Xenopus tropicalis: one gene and its partner. The protein of the gene in region 2 purifies or fractionates together with the protein of the main gene of each other region. This does not show direct contact. Links are inferred from orthologs where the notes say so. Each region holds a gene or a part of one and is shown on either strand. Other genes may lie near its edges.

What was found.
Region 1: the proteins of pomk (region 2) and lrp6 purify together in Homo sapiens (affinity purification with mass spectrometry; 3 studies listed by BioGRID and IntAct, counting the BioPlex papers as one, with this or other methods). This does not show direct contact. The link is inferred for Xenopus tropicalis from reciprocal best matches to the Homo sapiens genes POMK and LRP6.

What each region holds. Positions count from the first base shown.
Region 1 is NC_030679.2:8,212,312-8,223,519, forward strand, and holds part of lrp6 (low-density lipoprotein receptor-related protein 6), read right to left. Parts: coding exon 11,117-11,208; intron 10,543-11,116; coding exon 10,331-10,542; intron 9,398-10,330; coding exon 9,207-9,397; intron 8,920-9,206; coding exon 8,710-8,919; intron 8,527-8,709; coding exon 8,398-8,526; intron 6,370-8,397; coding exon 6,133-6,369; intron 5,517-6,132; coding exon 5,406-5,516; intron 4,644-5,405; coding exon 4,413-4,643; intron 2,978-4,412; coding exon 2,841-2,977; intron 2,744-2,840; coding exon 2,646-2,743; intron 1,309-2,645; coding exon 1,017-1,308; 3' UTR 1-1,016. UniProt on the Homo sapiens protein: Component of the Wnt-Fzd-LRP5-LRP6 complex that triggers beta-catenin signaling through inducing aggregation of receptor-ligand complexes into ribosome-sized signalosomes.
Region 2 is NC_030677.2:96,029,778-96,041,768, forward strand, and holds the start of pomk (protein O-mannose kinase), read right to left. Parts: upstream 6,131-11,991; 5' UTR 6,043-6,130; intron 5,922-6,042; exon of another isoform or gene 5,834-5,921; intron 2,013-5,833; 5' UTR 1,987-2,012; coding exon 1,702-1,986; intron 696-1,701; coding exon 1-695. Other genes in the region: hgsnat (heparan-alpha-glucosaminide N-acetyltransferase), read left to right, coding at 6,489-6,615, 11,621-11,733. UniProt on the Homo sapiens protein: Protein O-mannose kinase that specifically mediates phosphorylation at the 6-position of an O-mannose of the trisaccharide (N-acetylgalactosamine (GalNAc)-beta-1,3-N-acetylglucosamine (GlcNAc)-beta-1,4-mannose) to generate phosphorylated O-mannosyl trisaccharide (N-acetylgalactosamine-beta-1,3-N-acetylglucosamine-beta-1,4-(phosphate-6-)mannose).

The DNA of each region.
Region 1 (11,208 bases), on a different chromosome or scaffold from region 2:
ATCACCTCTATTGTCTTCCCAGTAGCGCCCCCTTGGGGCGGTTTAGTGGTATCGGTAGCGCTTTGTGGTAGTGGTACGGCTACACTGTAGTGGTTACGTGGTCGGGGGGGGAAGAATCAAACGGCTGGCTGCTAAAAAATCTTTCTAGCAACCTTCTTTGGCCCTCAAGTCAAAGATAAAATCATAAAATAAAATACACAAATTAAACAATTATTGTTGCCACTCAATCAATTATACAAGCCCAAGTCAGCTTGATGCACTCCCATATAGCCACAGTACAAGCCTGTATGTCTGCCCTGTATCCAGGTATATTGATACCTGGATACAGGGCAGGCATACAGGCTTTTAAGGGGCAGCTGGAGTAAAATGTAATTTAATATGGTGGGATAAGGGACCAGTGAAGCTACTGGGCTTTCATGTAGCAGAGATTCCATGTTATCCCCATAACCGCCAAGAGGGGGCAGGCTTGCTCTGCGCCTAAGCTTGGCACCAGTCGAATGGAGGAAAGAAAGGGTTAAAAAAAAAATAAAAACAATTAAGAACCATTCTCTAAAATCCGCTGGTCTGTGCTCACGTGCATTTTTTTTTTTTTTTGGTATTAAAGACCTCTTCCTATCCTATCCGTCTATTTAAGGCATTTTGTGTATTCCATTTGCAAAAATAGATATTTATATAGAGATATATATATATATATATATATTTGTACAAATTACTGTTTCAGTGGTCATGGGATTTCTTCCACACAAAAAGGCAAGGGGATTGCCCTTTCCGGGGAAGGATGGAAATATAAGCGTTACATTTATGGCACAAGTATGAAGAGGTGTAAAAAGGGTTAAGAAAATATAAATATTTGTTGTTTTTTTTTTTATCGTCTCTGTACAAACGTCCATTGTCGGAGACCCTTCTGCCCTCCTCTGGAGGGGTTCATGGTTCTGGAAACTATACACAACGGGGGCCGGGGGGTTAGATTGGGAAAGTACTCTCTCTTCATACAGTATTTACAGAGTGGGGGGGTCTCAGGAAGAGTCTGTACAAGGTGACGGAGGAGGGGGGTAAAGGTGGTGAGAGTAGCTTCGTTCCGTGTAGGGAGAGGGCGGGCAGCTTTCGTAGTTCTCCTCGGCTGAAAGGTACTGGCTGCGGGGGGTTGGAGGCGGAGGCACCGGTTCCGAGTCGTAGTTGAGATCGCTGGTGTAGCCCTTCGCCGCGGCGGAGGTGATCCGGTGGCTGGGGGTGTAGTCGCTGTCGCACACGTCGGTGCTGCAGGGAGTTGTAGGAGGGGCAAAATGCCGGTAGCTGTAGGGTCTGTAGCTGAGGAAGAAAGAGAAACATTAGGAAATATAGCAGACTGCTTTTTATCCCCAGGAATATAATGATTTTGACATGTTAAGGTCCCCATACACAGGCCGATTCTAGCTGCCGATATGGGTCCCTTAGACCGATTCGGCAGTTTATCGCCCCGTGTAGGGGCACTAACGACGGGCCTGTCTGACTGATATCTGGCCTGAAATCGGGCAGGTTTAAAACTTTAGTCGGATCGAGGACCGCATCGGCTCGCTGATGCAGTCCCTGAACCGACTTTGCCTATACCCGTCGTTATAATTTGATTGTTTGGCCCCAGTGCCAAACAATCAAATTAGCCCGGATTCTCCCGATATCGCCCACCCGTAGGTGGGGTATATCGGGAGAAGATCCGCTCGCTTGGCGTCTTAAGGTGTATGGGGACCTTATGTGATGTGGGGTAGTGCACAGTGTGTGTCCAATACACATGGGGTAGTGCACAGTGTGTCTCCAATACACATGGGGTAGTGCACAGTGTGTGTCCAATACACATGGGGGAGTGCACAGTGTGTCTCCAATACACATGGGGGAGTGCACAGTGTGTCTCCAATACACATGGGGTAGTGCACAGTGTGTGTCCAATACACATGGGGTAGTGCACAGTGTGTCTCCAATACACATGGGGGAGTGCACAGTGTGTCTCCAATACACATGGGGGAGTGCACAGTGTGTGTCCAATACACATGGGGTAGTGCACAGTGTGTCTCCAATACACATGGGGTAGTGCACAGTGTGTCTCCAATACACATGGGGGAGTGCACAGTGTGTGTCCAATACACATGGGGTAGTGCACAGTGTGTCTCCAATACACATGGGGTAGTGCACAGTGTGTCTCCAATACACATGGGGTAGTGCACAGTGTGTCTCCAATACACATGTTTTGGATTCACTCCCACGGTCGTTACAACTCGATCGTTTGTGTATATATACACAGGAACAAACGGAGCACACCATCCAGAGAATCCAAATCCCTGGGTGCTGGCAAAAGCAGAGGGCCGCACACACTGGGACTTTGCAAAAAAAAAAAAAAAAAAAAAAAAAGTATTTATTGAAAAAGATCCGACGTTTCAAGCACTAACGGCGCTCTTCTTCAGGGAAAAACTGTTTTTTCCCTGAAGAAGAGCACTGTTAGTGCTCGAAACACACAGGGACTTAGATATATATATGAATAGCCCCAAGCTGAGCTGAGACTGCCCCAGCAACAAAGAAGCAGCCAGTTGTAGAAAAAAAGTCCCTCTCTAGTAGCAGCCTACAGCAGGGCCTTCTAGATACTGTGGGGGGGGGACTGGAGTAAAAAATGCACTCACCTGTATGATCTGTGGGTGGAAGGACTGTTTGAGGAGTAACCAAATTCCATTGTGTAATGGGAACGCTCCGTGGCTGGGGAGGGAGGTGGGTTCAAGATCTATAACCAAAGGAAAAGAATATTCAGGTTTATGGAACATCTTCTGTTTATGTATAAACACCGTATGGGGTAGGAAACACGGCAGCTGGATACCTACCGGTGGGAAATAGGTTCCTTTAGTGCTGGAGGAGCTGCTGGATGAGGCTCCGGTCACATGAGCCCGGTCATACGGTGGCCCGCTGCTTCCAGCCATAATGCTGAGAGAGCTGATAACAGATTTCCCACGAGACATCCCTGTGTTAAGCAAGAGAGTGCTTAGATAAGTGCTTTCTGCATCAGCAGACCTTAGAAATGATTCATCACTGCATTGTTAAACTGCAACACCCCTTTGTATTTCACCCTCATCTGGCGCAGCGGTTGGATCCCTGTTACTTAAGCTGGTTTCAACAGAGTTTAATGGCTTTCTACTAATGAATGGCCCATGGAAAGTACAGCTCTGTGATCTCTTCCCACAATGGCCCGCAGCTGTTACATGACACTGCTGCGCACACAATGCAACAAGATGCTCTCGCTGTTTAATAGAAGAACTGGAAACTTTGCTGCATCCTCGCATTAAAGGCAGCGGGAGGATAAAAACCCCACAACAAAGGGGCGAGAAGGAATCATCGCAAGGAGCCAAGCTGCAGGGGATCTTTTTTTTTTTTATCCCCACCCCTAGATTTATTTCTGTTTAACTTTGTATGTGAGCTGGAGAATGCACAAAACCACATGAAAGGCCTCATAACAAAAAAACCTGCGAGTGGAGGAAATGATCCATTACAAGCAGGTTCCTGCATGGACTGGCAGTCAATACAGGCATGGGATCCCTTAACCTGTTATCCAGAAAGCTCCAAATTATGGAAATCCGGTCTCCCATAGACTCCATTTTAATCATAATAATTTAGAAATTTGAAACGGATTTCCTTTTTCTCTGTAATAATAAAACAGTACCTGTACTTGATCCCAACTAAGATATAATTACCCCTTATTGGGGCAGAACAGCCCTATTGGGTTTATTTAATGGTTAAATGATTCCCTTTTCTCTGTAATAATAAAACAGTACCTGTACTTGATCCCAACTAAGATATAATTACCCCTTATTGGGGCAGAACAGCCCTATTGGGTTTATTTAATGGTTAAATGATTCCCTTTTCTCTGTAATAATAAAACAGTACCTGTACTTGATCCCAACTAAGATATAATTACCCCTTATTGGGGCAGAACAGTCCTATTGGGTTTATTTAATGGTTAAATGATTCCCTTTTCTCTGTAATAATAAAACAGTACCTGTACTTGATCCCAACTAAGATATAATTACCCCTTATTGGGGCAGAACAGCCCTATTGGGTTTATTTAATGGTTAAATGATTCCCTTTTCTCTGTAATAATAAAACAGTACCTGTACTTGATCCCAACTAAGATATAATTACCCCTTATTGGGGGCAGAACAATCCTATTGTGTTTAATTTATGTTTTATTGATTTTTTTAGTAGTCTTAAGGTATGAAGATACAAATTACGGAAAGACCCCTTATCCGGAATACCCTTGGTCTCGAGCATTCTGGATAACAGGTCCTATACCTGTACAAGAGCATTCAGCATTATATTTATTGTATCTAAATGGAAAGAGTACCATCTTGGAAAATAAACAGCAGGCATTTTGGTGCTGGAGTCACCGGCTCTGTACTCACCAGGCAAGGATCCAGTCAGGGAGCTCGGATGTGGCACGTATGCTAAGGGGACGGAGGCGGGTCCATGCACCACATAATCGTTGGCCATGGTCTCCCCGTCTCCTTTCATGCGACGACACAGCACTCGCTGACAGATAAAATACACTCCCCCTACTACGAATACGGTGAGGATCACGCCGATGATGGAGCCGATGGTGTTGGTCGATGGAGGAGGTGGTTCCTCTGTGGGATCTGGAAAATGTAAAATAAATTGTGTGGAGAGTTGAAGAGTAGGCCTGGAGAGAGCCTTTAGCCTTGCAGATTAGGAGAGGTATGCACAGCTTGCATCAAGGCAAAGGTTCAAATACAACTCCCAGAATATCATGGCAATATTTGGCTGATGCTGATAGTTGCACATCAACATCTAAAGGGTGAAGACACACAGAGCTACTAGAAGCAGCTACTTTTTCACACCTACTAAGCACCAGAAAATCCCCTGCCATAGACAATACAGAGGATTGCCTCTGCTAAAACACATGTAGAGACAGTTATCAGTAAATGATCAGCATTGTCTATTTTAGTAGCCACGACAAGTAGCTGCTACTAGGGCTACTGGGTGTCTTCACCCTTCAGGGGTGCTAAAGTGCAATGGCAAGCTTGAGACTCCCATGCAACTTTTAGGGTAAAGACACACAGCTACTTAGTAGCAGCTACTTGTCACGGCTACTAAACCCCAGAAAATACCCTGCCATAGACAATACTGAGAATTGCCTCTGCTAAAACACACGTAGAGACAATTATCAGTAAATGATCAGCATTGTCTGTTTTAGTAGCCACGACAAGTAGCTGCTACATTAGCTCCGTGTCTCTTCACCCTTAAATACAAGTCCCAAATCTCTGCAGGACCCCGAATGTGACATGCCAGGTTTGTAACAGAACACACACACTATATGACTTTTTGCTGACAACTTTATTACTGAAACTTAGGCCAGCAGTTATAATAGCAGCACTTACAGCAAGCTTGCTCGTCTGAGCTGTCACTGCAGTCCGGGCTGAGGTCACAACGCCTGTGCTTCCCGATGCACTGTCCGCTGCCACAGTGGAACTGGTCTGGAGCACAGACTTCTGCAGAAAGACCAGAAAAAGCATCTTCATTATTAGCAGCCTTCATAATTGACTGGTTCAGTGTGTCAACTTAGCTTATTCATTTCACATCACTGGTACCTTAGGGGTAAAGACACACAGAGCTACTTAGTAGCAGCTACTTGCCATGGCTACTAAAAGCCAGAAAATCCCCTGCCATAGACAATACTGAGAATTGCCTCTGCTAAAACACAAGTACAGACAATTATCAGTAAATGATCAGCATTGTCTATTTTAGTAGCCACGACAAGTAGATGCTACTAGTAGCTCCGTGCGTCTTCACCCTAAAAGACACTGGGGCTCATTTATCAACACTGGGCAAATTTGCCCGTGGGTAGTAACCCATAGCGACCAATCAGTGACTGGCTTTTTTCAGCCAGCTGCATATACAACAATGAATGCAACAATTTCATTGGTTGCCATGAGCTAATGCCCATGGGCAAATTTGCCCAGTGTTAATAAATGAACCCCACTTTCTTTTCCCAACAGGCCTCTTTTAAGAGTGCTTTCACAAACTCTTCAATGCATATAAGGGGGGGGATTCAAACACCAACAAATGAATGTCTGAATAAAACCATTTTCAGAAGCAAGCCCGTACCATTGCAGTTTTTCTCATCAGACTTGTCCTGACAGTTGGCTTCTCCGTTACAGCGCAGAGAGGAGTCAATGCACTGGCCGCTGGCGCACTGGTACTGCGTGTCCGAGCACATGGGGCAGTTCTGCTCGTCGCTGTGATCCTCGCATTCTGTAAAGCCGTCGCAGCGCCATTCCGCCGGGATGCAATCAACCTCGCCGGTGAAACAGGTGAACTGCAGGGGAGAGCAGGTAGGAGGCTCTGTGGGGAAAATAAAGGAAATTATGTTATACCCACTTAATAACATTTTAGGGTACATCTAGATATACGCAAAGAATAGACACATAAAAAAAATCAAAATATAGCCACAGGATTGGATGTCCCAATTGTAACCACTAGATGGCAGTGTCAGAAAGCGGAAATGCACACACATGCTTTCTCTGGGTAATTCTGCGTATAGTAGCAATACCCTGTACCCAATTTTGTATCAATGAAAGAAACCAGAAGACAAACCTTATATAAAAACAAACAGGGTGTGTTTTTGCAGTTACCGTATGGCCTGAATACTATAACAGACAGAATCTAATCCCTTAATGGCCTAGCACAGGCACTAATATTCTGTTACACAAACAATGACTTTCATTGAGTGCTCTGACCTCTAGTAACCTACAAGCAAAATAGAGCAAATGTGACCCAGGGCGAAGAGCCGGCCGGTTACAACAGAAGCCTCTGGCAGTGGAATCAGAAAAGAACACAGTATCATGGGGTTGTATAGCTTTGAGGGTCCTCATTGTAAGCAGCAGTCCTGCCCTGCTTTATGGCTGAGATTCTAGCTATCTGTATAACAGAGCATTCTGTCACAGTGGCACAGATCCTATCTGATCCCCCCATTGTAAGCAGCAGTCCTGCCCTGCTTTATGGCTGAGATTCTAGCTATCTGTATAACAGAGCATTCTGTCACAGTGGCACAGATCCTATCTGATCCCCCCATTGTAAGCAGCAGTCCTGCCCTGCTTTATGGCTGACATTCTAGCTATCTGTATAACAGAGCATTCTGTCACAGTGGCACAGATCCTATCTGATTCCCCCATTGTAAGCAGCAGTCCTGCCCTGCTTTATGGCTGAGATTCTAGCTATCTGTATAACAAAGCATTCTGTCACAGTGGCACAGATCCTATCTGATCCCCCCCCATTGTAAGCAGCAGTCCTGCCCTGCTTTATGGCTGAGATTCTAGCTATCTGTATAACAGAGCATTCTGTCACAGTGGCACAGATCCTATCTGATCCCCCCATTGTAAGCAGCAGTCCTGCCCTGCTTTATGGCTGAGATTCTAGCTATCTGTATAACAGAGCATTCTGTCACAGTGGCACAGATCCTATCTGATCCCCCCATTGTAAGCAGCAGTCCTGCCCTGCTTTATGGCTGAGATTCTAGCTATCTGTATAACAGAGCATTCTGTCACAGTGGCACAGATCCTATCTGATCCCCCCCCATTGTAAGCAGCAGTCCTGCCCTGCTTTATGGCTGAGATTCTAGCTATCTGTATAACAGAGCATTCTGTCACAGTGGCACAGATCCTATCTGATCCCCCCCATTGTAAGCAGCAGTCCTGCCCTGCTTTATGGCTGAGATTCTAGCTATCTGTATAACAGAGCATTCTGTCACAGTGGCACAGATCCTATCTGATCCCCCCCCCATTGTAAGCAGCAGTCCTGCCCTGCTTTATGGCTGAGATTCTAGCTATCTGTATAACAGAGCATTCTGTCACAGTGGCACAGATCCTATCTGATCCCCCCCATTGTAAGCAGCAGTCCTGCCCTGCTTTATGGCTGAGATTCTAGCTATCTGTATAACAGAGCATTCTGTCACAGTGGCACAGACCCTATCTGATCCCCCCATTGTAAGCAGCAGTCCTGCCCTGCTTTATGGCTGAGATTCTAGCTATCTGTATAACAGAGCATTCTGTCACAGTGGCACAGATCCTATCTGATCCCCCCATTGTAAGCAGCAGTCCTGCCCTGCTTTATGGCTGAGATTCTAGCTATCTGTATAACAGAGCATTCTGTCACAGTGGCACAGATCCTATCTGATCCCCCCATTGTAAGCAGCAGTCCTGCCCTGCTTTATGGCTGAGATTCTAGCTATCTGTATAACAGAACATTCTGTCACAGTGGCACAGATCCTATCTGATCCCCCCATTGTAAGCAGCAGTCCTGCCCTGCTTTATGGCTGAGATTCTATATATATATGATTAGCAGTAATACAAAATAAATCTACACAGCACTCACCCCCACAGGACAACTCATCTTCCTGCAGAAGGACAAGGTGCATCGGGCAAGAACAGCGGGTGGTTCCATCTCCTTTCACTATGCAGATGTGGGAGCAGCCCCCGTTATCCTGGGAACAAGGGTGTTCCTCTGTTAAAACAGAAAAGGGAAAAGAACAATGAGAAAACAAGGCCATGATTCCAAATTTCAAAGCTTAATACCCCAAGATTTGTAATTTTACTAAATAATTCTAATATTTGAAGTGGTTGTTGCTTAGCAACTCCAAAACGTATCTACAGAAAAGGAAATTAGTATTAATAAGTGGATACTAACTGTATTCGTCCATGCTCAGTTCTGTCACAGCATGGATATCAGTCAGCAGAGGGATACGAGCTTGGATCTTGGTGCGACCCACGCGTCCGGTTTTCTCAATGCGCTCAATCATTTGTTGTTGCCGGTCAATCCAATACAGGTGATTGCCAAAAACAGTGAGTCCGACTGGCTGCAGCACGTTAGAATCTTCTAGAACTATGCGATGGCCACCTGGAAAGTACCAGAGAGCAGTGTAAGCGTTGACCAATAACATAATTAAAGGCCATTTTACTGTAACGATCAAAACTAGGTATGCAAAAAAAATATGTAATAAATGCACTTGGAACAATGAATGAAGTAGGAATCACTCTATCCAAACGGAAAGCATGTGATTAAAATCACACAGCATTCTTACTTTCCCATTAAGTTGGTACTAGACCACAGAACGGAACCATACTAGAACTCATAACTGTCATTTTCAGTTTTAGTCCTATAAATTCGCTATTCTCGCACTTTACCGGATAGGTCACTGCTTTCGATCCTCCTCAAGTCAGAGTCGGCCCAGAAAAGTTTCCCCATTTTGTTGTCGAGCGCAAGCGCCACTGGTTTGCTCAGGCCGGTGAAAAACAGCACCTCTCGCTCTGTCCCATCAAGAGCAGCTCTTTCGATTTTTGGCGATCGCTCCTGGAGGTTGGTGAAATACATGTACCTAGAAGATCAAAGCAAATGGGAGTTTCAATGCAAAGCTGGTTCAGAACCCCTACCGGCCCATTAACCTGGAAGTGTAAATGGTTCACAATATTTAATTTTTTCAAATTATACACCATATCCCAACTCCATAAGCAAAGAAACTACCCACACAGTCAGGAAATCAAGGCAGATCTGCCCCAAAACAGACAAATTTATATTGGTCATTTTTTGTTTTTGAACTCAGGGTGCTGAACTCAGGGTCGGACTGGGGGGTGAAGGGCCCACCGGGGCCCGTGCCCATAGCCTGCCCATATGGCCAACGCCCATAGCCTCCCCCCCCCTGGAGGGGCCCCCCTAACCCCCCTCGCAGGTTCCCCCACCTGACGTTCTTCCCCGAGCGCGTAAATTTAACACGTGGGGACAGGAGCGGTCGTGCAGGGGGAGCGCCACAAGGGTTGGGTCTGGGCCGCTGGGGCCCACCGGGATTTTTACCGGTGTCCCGGTGGCCCAGTCCGACCATGGCTGAACTTTTTCACAAACAACTGACATTTATACTGTAAGAACGGACTTCTGCAGAAATTTATATTTATTTATTTATATTGGTCTTTTTTGTATCTGACTTTTTAAAAAACTGTGGTTATGCTGACGAAGGGAGGGAGCGCCCCCCCACCCCGAAACGTTGATTATTTTTATGGTACATTGGCAATGGGGTAAGCTCCTCAGCTGAAATTTTGCTTGAGTGCAGTCTCTATTTCTGCTTTGTTCTATACATTGTTGGGGCGTTGCCATACATCTAGAAGACTTTGCACCACAGAAAATTGCGGGTGAGTGCAGCTGTGCCCCAAAACAAACCATCTTGTGGGTGGTTCTGTAGGTACCCACCACCACAGACCTGATTGTAGATCAGGGAAAAAGAATAAACTATGCGTAGATAAAGTTCTGTATTTCCTACCCTCTCTCTGGATTCACAAGGATAGCTCTGGGACGGTCTTGTTCTCCCTTTAGAACCACCCCGATGGCTCTCCCGTCCAGCCGCGTGACGTTGATGACATTGGTGGCTTCGCAGGTCCAGTAAATCAGGCGACTGTAGACATCGATGCTCAAATCGTACGGCTGCATGTCTATATTCTGGTTGGGGACGGTGCTTGCCACTACGGTCATGCTCTGTGAAAAGGGACAGGTAAAGAATAAAAGGATGTTGTTAGTATCAGTGTTATTTGTGCAGCTTATGATGCAGACTGAAACCTGCTGATGTCCCATATCCATAACCCTTGTGATACACAAGCTAATCATATGAAGACACAATGCCGAACATTCTTTACAACACATATATACATATATACAATATACAGATGGGAGAAAGCCATGTGACTCATAAGGTGTTTAAACTCATGATGTTCTAGATCATGGGTCCTCAAACTTTTTAAACCGGGGGCCAGTCCATAGTCACTCAGTCTGTTGGGGGGCCAGACTATATTCAGTCCTCAAACTCCAGCCCTCGGCCCCTGCGCCCCGCTGTGTCTTCACCCCTGGCTACTACCTGTCTGGAGTCGCACCGGCCAACTCTAATTACGTTGGACGCGACACCCTGGGGCTGAGGACTGGTCAGACAGGTAATAGCCATGGTTGAGGACGCAGCAGGGCTGGGTAAATGATCTTGGGGGGCCACTGGACCCTAGCAACCAGACAAAAAGCTAAACAATTAAATAAAATAAAGCCCAATTGAGGCTAATTGTACCTGGCTGCCATCTTCCTGAGCCCGGCGTATATTCTGCCGCGAGTCAATCCAGTAGAGCTGCTTCTCCAAAGGGTCGTAGTCGATGGCTCGGA
Region 2 (11,991 bases):
ATCTGAGTTGAAGGTCTTTCAGATGGGTTATTTTTACCACACTCAGAGTGGATGTCGAACAGATGGAACCTAACAATGTCACTTCCTTGCACATGACCCAAAAGGTGATCAGTCACAGCTGGAATCTTCCAAATATCAGTCTTCTCATCATATGAAGGCATTATGTCATTTGAGAATTCAACATTTGGCCCATAGGGCCACAACTGTTCAGGAGCAACAAAATGTCCAGTTATTTCCCTTTGGCCACACTTGACCAAAATGCCATTTTCCCTGTCCACTACAGGCAAAGCATCAAGATCATTAGCTACTACATGAAAGTCACTTGTCAGCATGTATTGAGACAGTACCTTGTCCAAATCATTGGAATCACACATGACCAGAGTGCCATGGGGGCTAGTATGAAGATAGTTAATGATGCTAACATACTCCATTGCAAGTTTAAGGCGATTCTGCCACGTGTTGAAGCCTTGGTATTTAGGAAAACTAAAAGTTTTGTCCAAGTCTTTCAAGGAACCAAGTGGGTGATATTCAGTCAGTATGCTAAATGTCTCTTTACAATATCCAACAAGGACCACAACATTTCTGCTTTGCAGTGACTGCAGCATCCTTAATCCATGGAGGAAATCATCCTGCAGATCTAGCGATTTTAATTCTGAAAGAGCAACTTTCATGCCCTTCCACTCAGACAAAAATACCTGAAATGAATGGGAACCAAAAATCAACAGAGCACACTTCAGAAAAGAAACTCACTCTTTGTTGCTTCAGGTGCACTCTAAAGTTTTCTGCATGGGTTCCAATGAACTTATACATATGCTCTACTGCTTTGGAGCTGCCATGTATTACAGTTGGTGGTATATTTCCCCAACACACTTAGCAAGGGCCAGTAAGCAACTGTGAAAGGCAGGAGACAGAATGCATGGAAGCCAGTGCCCCATAGAAAACTACATAAAAAATACCTTTGCTTTCATATAAAAGTTGCTTTTATAGGTGTCTACAGAGAATGTCTGAAGACGAGAGATGTATCAAAATACGAATATGCTGCCCTTAAATTGCCTGGAAACTATGAATATAGTTTAAATTAGAGAGTCTGTTTAGTATTATTCTAAACAGGACCACAGCAATACAGGTGTCATGTATGTAGTGCATCTTCAATCTAACTACAGGCACATATTCCCAGGATGTTACCTAATGGCAAGTAGAACACACCATACAGTGTAGAAGAAAACTTACCAGCACTTAAGACTCAATGCAAGCAGGGATAAGCCATGTATATTTAATTAAACATTATTTCTGATGAAGGGCTGTGTTCCTAAAATATTACATTTGATTAAATATGCAGTGGTTATTCCCAATTGCATTCAGTCGGTGTGCCTGTAATGATTTCTCCTATGTAATCTTAGGGGTGCTGATCTATATTTTGCACCAGACTTAGGGTGGGTTACTCTTATGCTATAAATTACAGTGCAAATCATGTTGTATTACCTACCTAACCTATTTTATTTATTTTAATTCAACAGAAAAATGTATAAAGCACTTTCTAAAGTTGTAAATATGTTGTTACATTACACAGAATAGTCCAAAAACACTTTAATATGCAGAAGTATTCCCACTTTGGAATAGAATTAAAGCTTGTAGCTGCCATTATATTGGTCGCAGCTATTCTAGAAGTATATATTACTTTTGTCACGTTTTGAAACTTACCTTTTTAACTGCTCCTTCACCAACAAGCTTTAGCTTCCTGACTTCTTTTTCAATAGTCTCACAAGTCAGCCACGGTGAGCAATTTTTCATCGTTGCTATCTTAAAGTGTCCATAAGGACATAGGTTCAGTTCAGAATGGCTGAATTGAGAAGGTGCATAGATTTGTTCAATATACATATACAGCAAGAAGTTAACTGAAACCACTGTGAACAGTAGCATTAGAAAGAGGACAAGCAGGCAATTCCAGCTGCCACTTTTTCTGTTGACATTGAGTTTTCTCTCCATATTTGCTCAGCACTGTATGTAACATTCTGAGGGAAAAAAAGCAAACTTTGTTACTTTTACAAATAAAAAAACATGCATTCAAATAAGAAATATGTTTTTATTGTATCTGTATTTTAACACAACAGTAACTATGACCTTTTTTTTTCATTTAAAGAAATATATTTTACTGTTAAGGTTAAGAGCATATTGTCAGTCTGTGGATACCGTAAGTGGCAAGTCTCTCGTAAGTTTGGCGGATATCAGCTGCGTGTGCCTGTACCCGGACACCCGCTTATCTGCAGGCTGACATTATGCCCGCGTGCCCTTACCCTAGATATATTTTGCATAATCATTTGATTTTTGAAGGCAATACCTAAAATTATATCAAACAAGATATTAAAAAGTATTTAGGCCAGAAAAACAAGAGAATAGTGTCATATTAGGCTGAAACTATAAAAAGTCTTTTTTTGTTCCTGTTTAGCTAATCAAGTGTGTTTTTGTGTTATTGAAGTAGGCTTGGCAGAAATATGTAGATTATGTTGCCCACGTACCCTTCCCATGGCTAGTTAAAGTGTATTACATACTTTATTGTACAGGTATAGGATCAGTTATCCGAAAACCTGTTATCCAGAAAGCTCCAAATTACAGGAAGTTCATCTCCTATAGACTTTTTAAAGGTTTTTATTTGCATTTTTAAACATAAAAACATACAACACTTATAAACATCATGTGGTTCTACATCATGTTGTCCTGGACTGTGTTTATACAAGATAGCGTGTACAATAACATTAGCATTTGACCTGGTTTAGGTTGGTAATCCTAGTGGGAAGAATGCCCCATAGGCTGTAAGGGGGGGTCAAATTAATTAAGTAGCTTCTATCCAGTTCCTACAAATTTTTTCATACTTCTGGGGACACCCCCTTGCAGTCTGTGTAAGTTGAATCAGGGGGAATAGCGTTCTGAGGAGATTTAACCATCTATCTATTGTGGGAGGGGATTGTGCCATCTAGTGTAGCAGTACACATTTTCTAGCGTAGAACAGTAGATTTTGAAATAAGGTTCTTATATGAGCTGTTGGGGTAAGGTCATTAACCACTCCCAGTAGCAAACCTTGGATGTTACGAGGTTTGGGAGGGAGTTTTTTTTTTCTTGGATGTAATCCATTACTTGTGTCCAATAGGATTGAATAGTCTGGCACTGCCAAATGAGATGTATGTAGTTTGCCTCTGGAGCATTGCATTTCAGGCATTTGGGTGATTCACGCCTATTCATGCGGAATAATCTCAGAGGGGTTAAATGGAGTCTGTGTATGATCTTAAACTGTATCAGCCTTTCTCTAGTTGAGACAAGGTAGTCATGGGCCCTATCAGTGGCTTTATCCCAGTCATCATCATCTATCTCTTCGAAGTCCCTATGCCACATTGCGTAGGCTGTCCTAAATGGAGATCTAACTGTTGAGAGAAGCGTATAGCGTTGTGGTAAGTTTTTTGGTTGTAGGGCTTCGAACGGTGAGTTCTATTCTGGATATAGATGAGGGTGGTGTGGTTTTCCTAAATTGTGCCTGGAGGGCATGCCGTAGTTGGAGATAAAGAGTACCATAGGAGTACTGCTTGGGTAGTGTCTAAATTGGTCCCTCAGTGCCAGGGTGTCTCCTACTTGTATGTCTCCCAGTGTACGGATTCCCCATATGGGCCAAATTCTATATGGTGATATTTGCTGGAATAGGGTGTGTTGTTTGGATATCTGCTGGTTTGCAAAATGGGATATATGTTAGTGACTCTATTGAGCTCACTATTGTGGCTTGGAGAGGGAAGTTGGGATTCGAAGGGTCTGGGTTAAGCCACCATTGGATGTAGTATAACTGTGAAACAAGGTAATATAGATACCAGTGTAGGAGACCCAGACCTCCCTCATTGATTGGCTCACTGAGTTTGGTTCTGGCAAATATGGGGGATTTGTTTGCCCCATAGACTCCATTTAGACTCATAATTTAATAAATCAAAATATAAAAAATGATTTATTTTTCTTTTGTAATAATAAAACAGTGCCTTGTACTTGATCCCAACTAAGATAAAATGAATCCTTATTGGAGGCAAATCAATCCTATTGGGTTTATTTAATGTTTAAATGATTTTTCAGTAGACAAAGTATGGAGATCCAAATTACAGAAACACCCTTTATCCGGAAAATCACAGTTCCTATTCTGGATAACAGGTCCAATACCTGTATTGCTTTTTCATAGCTGTAGTGAAATTCACTAACAAGAATATTTTGTAAAAATTCTTATGTAAATGTCTTAACATGTAAAAGCTGAGTAAGAGTATTATGCTCTGCAGTGCACCATTGTAGTAAGCGTACCACTGTCTAATTTACAACTATTTATTTTCCCACAATAAACAAAGGTTAGTAAGGTGGTCATACAATGAGCAATCCTCCTCAATATTCAACCAAAAGGACAGGTATTGTACTAACTGACACTATGGCATAGCCACTTTTCTATCGTCAAGTTTTATCAGGCCGGACTAGCAGAACTGAAACAGAGGTTCATTTTAACGTTTTCATCTATTGATGCACCAAGTACTAGTACACTACTAACAGTGTGTAACAGCACATGACATTTTCAACCATGGAACAAAGATATCAGAAGGAACCATCTTCCCATCACATACACAGCAAAATTTATAAAAAATACTTTAACAGTATATTTAAACAATGGTATACACTTGGGCTTAGACAGGCAGACTTTACAAAAGGCCCAAAAAACCCTATTGCCTTAGAGAACTGCCATACAATGGGCTATACTAGTAAACCAAAAATCACTGCCACATTTTTTGATATTATATTATTTGTGTTGTGAAACTACAGACCCAAGGAGGTAGGCATGAAACAATCTTTTAATTTGCTTTAGTTTCTAACATAAAAACATTACATAAAAACACTTTTTCTGTTTCAGTAGCTACTAAGTCACGCACTGTAGATCTGCATCATATGGGGCAACCAGGAGCGACAAATACCTGCAGTTACTAGGTCATCTCTGTAAAAGGACACCTATAGTAAATAGTTTGATGAAACATTGTATGTCACCCTCAATTGGAAAGGCATTTAAAAATGAAGACCAAATGCAAATTATATTGGACTATTACTCTCTACATCATAATAAAAGTTAACTTTATGCTGTGTAAAAAACAGCAACAAAATTTGCAATTTGCAAAAGCAATTCAAAATAAATTACAGTCATCAGTACAATCCTGCAACAGATAATTAATCAGCATTTTATTCTATATATCTTGTGCAACAAAAGCATATATCATAAACGTATATACTGCATAAAAATATGTAGCTAAGAAGTGAAATGCACATAGATAATAAACTGGTTTAGCAGTAAAAACACATCATTTAAGGTGGTAGCTACTATTTACATAGCTGGTTGTACTTCCACCTCAGGGAGAAAGGACTGATATAAGAGTGCCTCTGATCATATTTACAAATGTAATTAAGAAACATTACGAATACATTTTAATTGTATTGATTAATGTTTTTGTGTATTTGCATAGTTAATAAAGTAAGAGTACAATTATAAGATGCACTATTTAACTTTCATTAATAGCTAACACTACAGTACCTTGTTATACAGTGATCAACCAGTATAAATAAATTCAGGTGTTTGCCTTTAAAGAGAACACTGTTTTTGAGGTCCCACAATGGCTTGGTGTTCCCTAACAAAACGTGGATCCACACATCCACTCAAACTCAGTGTAAGGACACTATATACTATATAAGTATACAGGACACTCTGCAAGTGAAATATAGAGACCACAATGGTGCAATACTAATAATAAATGGCTGCACACACTCAGATCCTACTTACACAGTGCATCTTCTACATTTGCATGTCACAGTTAATTTGCAGCAACGTGTCTTTCCTCTCCACCCTCCAGCACCTAAACAGTTAAGTGCTAATAGTGAAGATTATACCAAGGAGCAAGCAGGATAACGCTTCAGTTCTACTTGTGTGTCCAAAATAACATGCATATCATCCCTTTTCCACCTTTCAGTTCTGCCTGCAGTAACTTTCACCTCTGTGCAGCAGTTCAGTTCTTCTTCCTGTCCTGGTGATTCCTGGTACCATGTGATCACCTACAGCCAATCACACTGTTCCTTCTCCTAGCAAGAGAATCACAACAGAGCAGGGAGGAGGGAGCTGGATCGGGTTTTTAGCAAGCAGAAGCAGGACTGATTCAATCAGGGGCATCTTCAGAACATTGATAGGAAACGCGTTGGGCTATTTTATGTAGTTAATAAATACATGGTTTTAAATATATAGATTGAACCAGTCCTGCTGTTAGCTAGGAGTGAGATCATTACAGGATGTGATGGGGCTGAATCGTGCCAGACAGATCGAGTGAGGGAGTTGTATACAGATCCCAGAGCTGGAAAGAAAAGAGGAAGTCAGGAGACGGCGGTGGAGGCGAAAAAAGAGGTGGAAAAGCCCAGAGAGCAAATCTGGTGGAAGCAGTCCTGGCATGAACACGATGACGTTGCTGTGGCCCCGTTGCTGTTCCACCTATTGGCTTCTTATAGTCTCTGCCCTGAGCATGATTCTACTGGGTACCTGCACCAGCTCTTCCCTCATAAGCCTACCTGCACAGAGTAAGTGAGCAAAGCACTGAGCTCACTTCCTGAATAGTCTATGTAGTATTATTATTACACAGTATGTATTTATATTTTAAAGGGAATCTACACCAAACACTTTTGCCTAATGAAAAAGTAATTCTAAGCCGTTTTTTAATATGCATTTATTATATTTTAACGCGCAAGTCAACCCAAATTATATTTTTTTGCCTAATAAAAAAAAAAAACATAATTCTAAGCCATTTTGCAATATATATTCATTACAAATTTGCAATGGTTTCTGACTTATTCATACATATAATTACTATTAGAAGTAGTGTTTTCCAGTCTTTTTCTGTTCTGTGCCCTTGGTGGCTCTGGCATTTGAAACAATGTAAAGGTGGCCATACACGAGCAGATCTTCCCCCGATATCCCCACCTACGGGTGGGCGATATCGGGGAGCATTTAGGTAAAAAAAAAAATAATCCGATCGTTTGGCCCTGGGGCCAAACGATCGGATTATGTGGGCGGCAATGGGGCAGTCGGATCGGGGACCGCATCAACGAGCCGATGTGGTCCCCGATCCGACTGTATTTTCTAACCTGGCCGATCGAGATCTGGCCAATTTCAGGCCAGATATCGGTCGGCCAGGCTGCTCTGCTCTCCCCATACACGGGCCGATTAGCTGCCGAATCGGTCCAAGGGACCGATATCGGCAGCTATAGTCGGCCCGTGTATGGGGACCTTTACACAAGGCAACAGACTGACAGACCTGTCTTGCAGAGGGAGACTGACCTCTGCAACATTGTTTAAGGAGTCATAACCAGGAGTTCAGCAAATTACATTTACAAATAACTTTTAAAGCACTAAACATTTTCAATAAAGTTGCTTGGAATTATGTTTTCTTTTATTAGGAAAAAAGTTATTTTTGGGGTTGACATGTCCTTTAATAATATGAATTATATTTTGATATATTAATGGTGTATTAAAGTTATTAATTATTATGAGTTATTTCTACTGCAAGCTGTTTCTGTCAGGTTGTTTATATTCTCTGCAGTGTTGGTTCTGAGTCCTGAAACAATGTAGCAGAAGCTGATTAAGGCTCATGGCCCACTGGGAGATAAGTCACCCGTAGTCTTGGCTGCCAAGGGCAACTAATCTCCCTGAAATGCCTTTCCACCAGCAATAAAGGGAATCACTGATGGACAGACATATGCATCGCTTCATTTTCCGAAGTCACATGAAATTGCCTGCAGGAGGAAACTTCGCACCACTTCAGAAAAAGAAAGCAATGCGTATGCCTTTACACCAGTGATTCACTTTGTTGCCGGTGGAAAGGCATTTCAGGGAGACTAGTCGACCACGCTAGCAGAGATTTAACTGTGGGTGACTAATCTCACCGTCAGACATTAGCCTTACAGATTTTATGGGAAAGCTATTTCCATTACAGGTATGGAACCTGTTATCCAGAATGCTCTGGACCATTGGTTTTCCGGATAAGAGATCTTTCCATGGATCTACATAACTTAAGTCTATAGACTTAATATATAATATAATATAAATATTGAATAAACTCAATAGGCTTGTTTTGCCTACAATAAGGATTAACTATATATTAGTTAGGATCAAGTACATGGTTCTGTTTTATAATTACAGAGAAAAAGGATATGGGAGATGGCCATTCCGTAATTCAGAGCTTTCTGGATAACGGGTTTCCGGATAAGGGATCCAGTACCTGTACATTATTTTAACATTAGAAACCGGAGAACAGAAAGGGATGCAAGGGCAGTTTTCAGTTGCTTTTTTATTTACAAATAGTGTTAAAACCACTGGAAATGTTCAGTACAGGTATGGGATCCATTATCTGGAAACCCGTTATCCAGAAAGGCCATATTCCATAGACTTAATAAGCAAATTCTAATTTTTAAGAATAATTTCCTTTTTCTCTGTAATTATAAAACAGTGCCTTGTACTTTATCCAAACTAAAGTATAATTGATCCTTATTGGGGTGCAAAACAATCTTTTTATTTAATATTTGAATGATTTTTAGCAGACTTAAGTTATGGAGATCCGAATTAGGGAAAGATCACTTATCCAGAAAACCCGAGCATTCTGGATAACAGGTCCCATACCTGTATATGTTTATGGGAAAGTTGATTAGGGATTCCTTGTGGATATTCTGAGATGTGCAAATCCACACTTACCAGCACACTCTGGCCTTTCCACTCTGTTCCACCTGGTGCACAGTATTTAGAGAGACTTCGTCACTCTCCACCACTTTCCAAACAGCACAAAAATATCAGCACAACAGGACTTGTTTAAGCGGGATAAATCCTGCTGATTTTTAATAGTAGCAAACCATATAACGTTTTGGGCGAAGGGGTGTGCCCCCGAAACGTTATATGGTTTGCTACTATTAAAAATCAGCAGGGTTTATTACGCTTAAACAAGTCCTGTTGTGTCGGTATTTTTGTGCTATTCTGGGATGTGCACATGTACAGTAGAGTTAAACTGGAACTTAGACACTAAGACAAACTTTACTGTACTGGACCTGTCCACAAACCTGATGGAGGCATAGCACTCAATAGACACACTTGTATTTTTTAGCGAGGAAGTGCAGCAACCCAGGGTCTGAGGTCAGTGATTTAATTACTGGGTGGAGCCTAACATATTAGCACCCCCAGTGATTAATCCTTTTCTAGACAGTAAAATGGCTGTTGAGATATTGGGTGCATTTATAGTATGTGATCACTAAATTCACAAATCAGCAAAGAGTGCACTCCGGAGAACCAAATCAATCAATTGTGATTATTATTTTATACCACAAAACATGTTTCAGATCCACTGATTCTTCATCAGGTGCTTTTACAACAGTGTACCATAACCCAAATTACCTTTAAACCCCACAAAGCCAACAAGTGTGTCAGCTCCATCATGTGGCCAGACTCATAGAAATACATACATCCAATTCAGAGCAATACAGAGCATTGCCATCTACTGGTCTACTCCGATAATGCACCAAACTACTAGTATCATGGGTATATAGTGTATATAGCAAGATATCGAAAAAGCAGGTATCCGTCTCCTACTTACTCTGTCATACAAGACAAGTCCATATGAGATTTCAAAAGTCCATTCTGGAAAATTAAAGGCAAAGTTAGTAATTTTACAAAAAATGCTTAATAGCTTACATGTTCCAATACCAGCCACCTGAGACTTGCACTATTATGTTTGTGCTCAAAAAAGTGTTTAGTCACTGATCTCTTATGTTCACCAATTTTGATTCTTACTTTCCTTATAGTCTGTCCCACATACATTTTACCACATGGGCACTTCAAACCATATACATCATTCTCTGAATTACATGTGTTATACTCTTTTACTCTTTTTTTACTCTGGTAAAGAAAAAAAAAAAGAGTACGTTAAGAGAACTTTATATAATGTGCTTGTGGCGTCAGTCAAAACTGGTTCTTTTTGTATATAATATGCATTAGGTGCCTGCACCCACTGCCTCTCACTGTATAATTTGCTTGTGGTGCAAGAATCCACAGTCTTACTGTTTCGGTGCATGTAGTGCCAACATGTACTGTACTGGCAGCACCTCTCAGTATATAATGTGGTTGGGGTGACGGATTCTGCTGCATCTCACTGTATAATCTGTTTGGGATGTTTACTGCTTTTTACTTTGTCTTGTTCTCATTGTACATTTTGATGGTGATGACATTAACAATTTCTATGCTGGTATATGATAGTGCGCTAAAGTATACTTTATGTTACCAGAGTGTCCTCCAACACCCATGGATATGTTATGCCCTTGTGCAGCACTTTTCATATAAGTGGGCACTCCACTATGCACCTATGAAAAGTATTTGCAACATGTTTAGCAGTAACTAAAGTCACAAAACCTTAACCCAAACTATCACAGAAGAAAAGTATCTGAAGCTCATTTAATAGATATACAATTTCCATTTTGCATCAGTTTATACTTTCCAGCAAATGGTGTAGGAAATGTAGTGGTGCAAAGTTTTCTCCAGGTCTAATAACCCATACTTGACAAAATAGCTATCTGTCCTCCAAACAAACACATCTTTTGTTTCCTATTGATCTGGTATTGTTTTATAACTGGTATTGTTTTCAGGACTGTATATCTTGGCCCATATGCCAGTGTTTGTCATTTTAATCTGTGAGTCAGTTTCAAATCATGAGAGCTTGGCTATGAACATTTGCAAAGCATGTTGCATAATTCTTTACCATGTGTTCTGTTTCCTTATTAAAAACATCAACATCCTCTTTTCAAAGTATTTTTAAAATATCTTGTGAAATATCTTATTTTCCTATTTTATTAAAGAATCACTTTTACCTTCCCCATAAAAGTGCCTCTAGCAATTGTCAGTTATTGCATCATGGATTTAGCTGTTGTAGTCAGAAAGTAGAAGGTATGCATACAAGAACTGGAAAAAGACTACTGAAAATTAATTAGTCACTGTTTTGTTCTCTTTATGAGAAAGGTCTCATAAGGAGATCGAAACGTTGACTAAAAAAATTTAGATTTTTTTTCACTTTTATGACGTCCTTTGAGTGCATATGATATAAGATATATACAGTGTACAGGTATATATAATTTTTTTTTCAGTGGCTTGTTTAGAATCTGTTATAGATTTCTGTGTCACTGAATCTGAGTTGTGAAGGCAAGTAGTGCCTAGTAGTGAGCAGCAGTTCACTGTCATCGCTCTGTGTGCTTTAGATATGGTATTTCGGATTCAGTAATGTTAGCAGTAGATAGGAGTGTGTTCCCTAGTTCCTTACAATGTGCTGTCTCAGTGGCTGAGAAAAGAGAGTTAAGAAAGACCTTGGGGCAATGGAATCAAGGAAATATGATTTTTCCAGACATTGGTAATGAAAAGTGATGTTCTTCTGTTGTATGTTTCTGTTGTATGCTTCTGTAAAGATGAGTCTTTAGATCAGCATTGTGCTTGTGTTTTTATAAAAAGTACAATAGTGTCATAGACAAAACTGATTTAACTTTGTGCATTTATCAACAGATGTCTTAAGGAGACCATCTCATTTGAAGATGGATCAGGCATTGCTACTTATTAACAATGCATTACATCATGAGGGATTTGTTGTCTACTGGAGATCAGACCAATGCTACCAGGTAAAATAAGACAATGTGAAAATTTGATAAACATGCACAGCAAATATGAGGTTTTTTTTTGGTCTCAGAAGAGCATAACCTTTGTGTTGCATATTATTTTCTGGAAAATAATTGCAGCTACAGTTTGTTGAAAAATCTCATATTGCCCTAGCTTTTTACTTGTTTTAAATCTAACCACTGTTCTTCATGCATCTGTTGTTCTAAATTAACTCTAGAAAACAAAAGCAAGTGGTGACAACAAAATGTGATAAAAGAGGA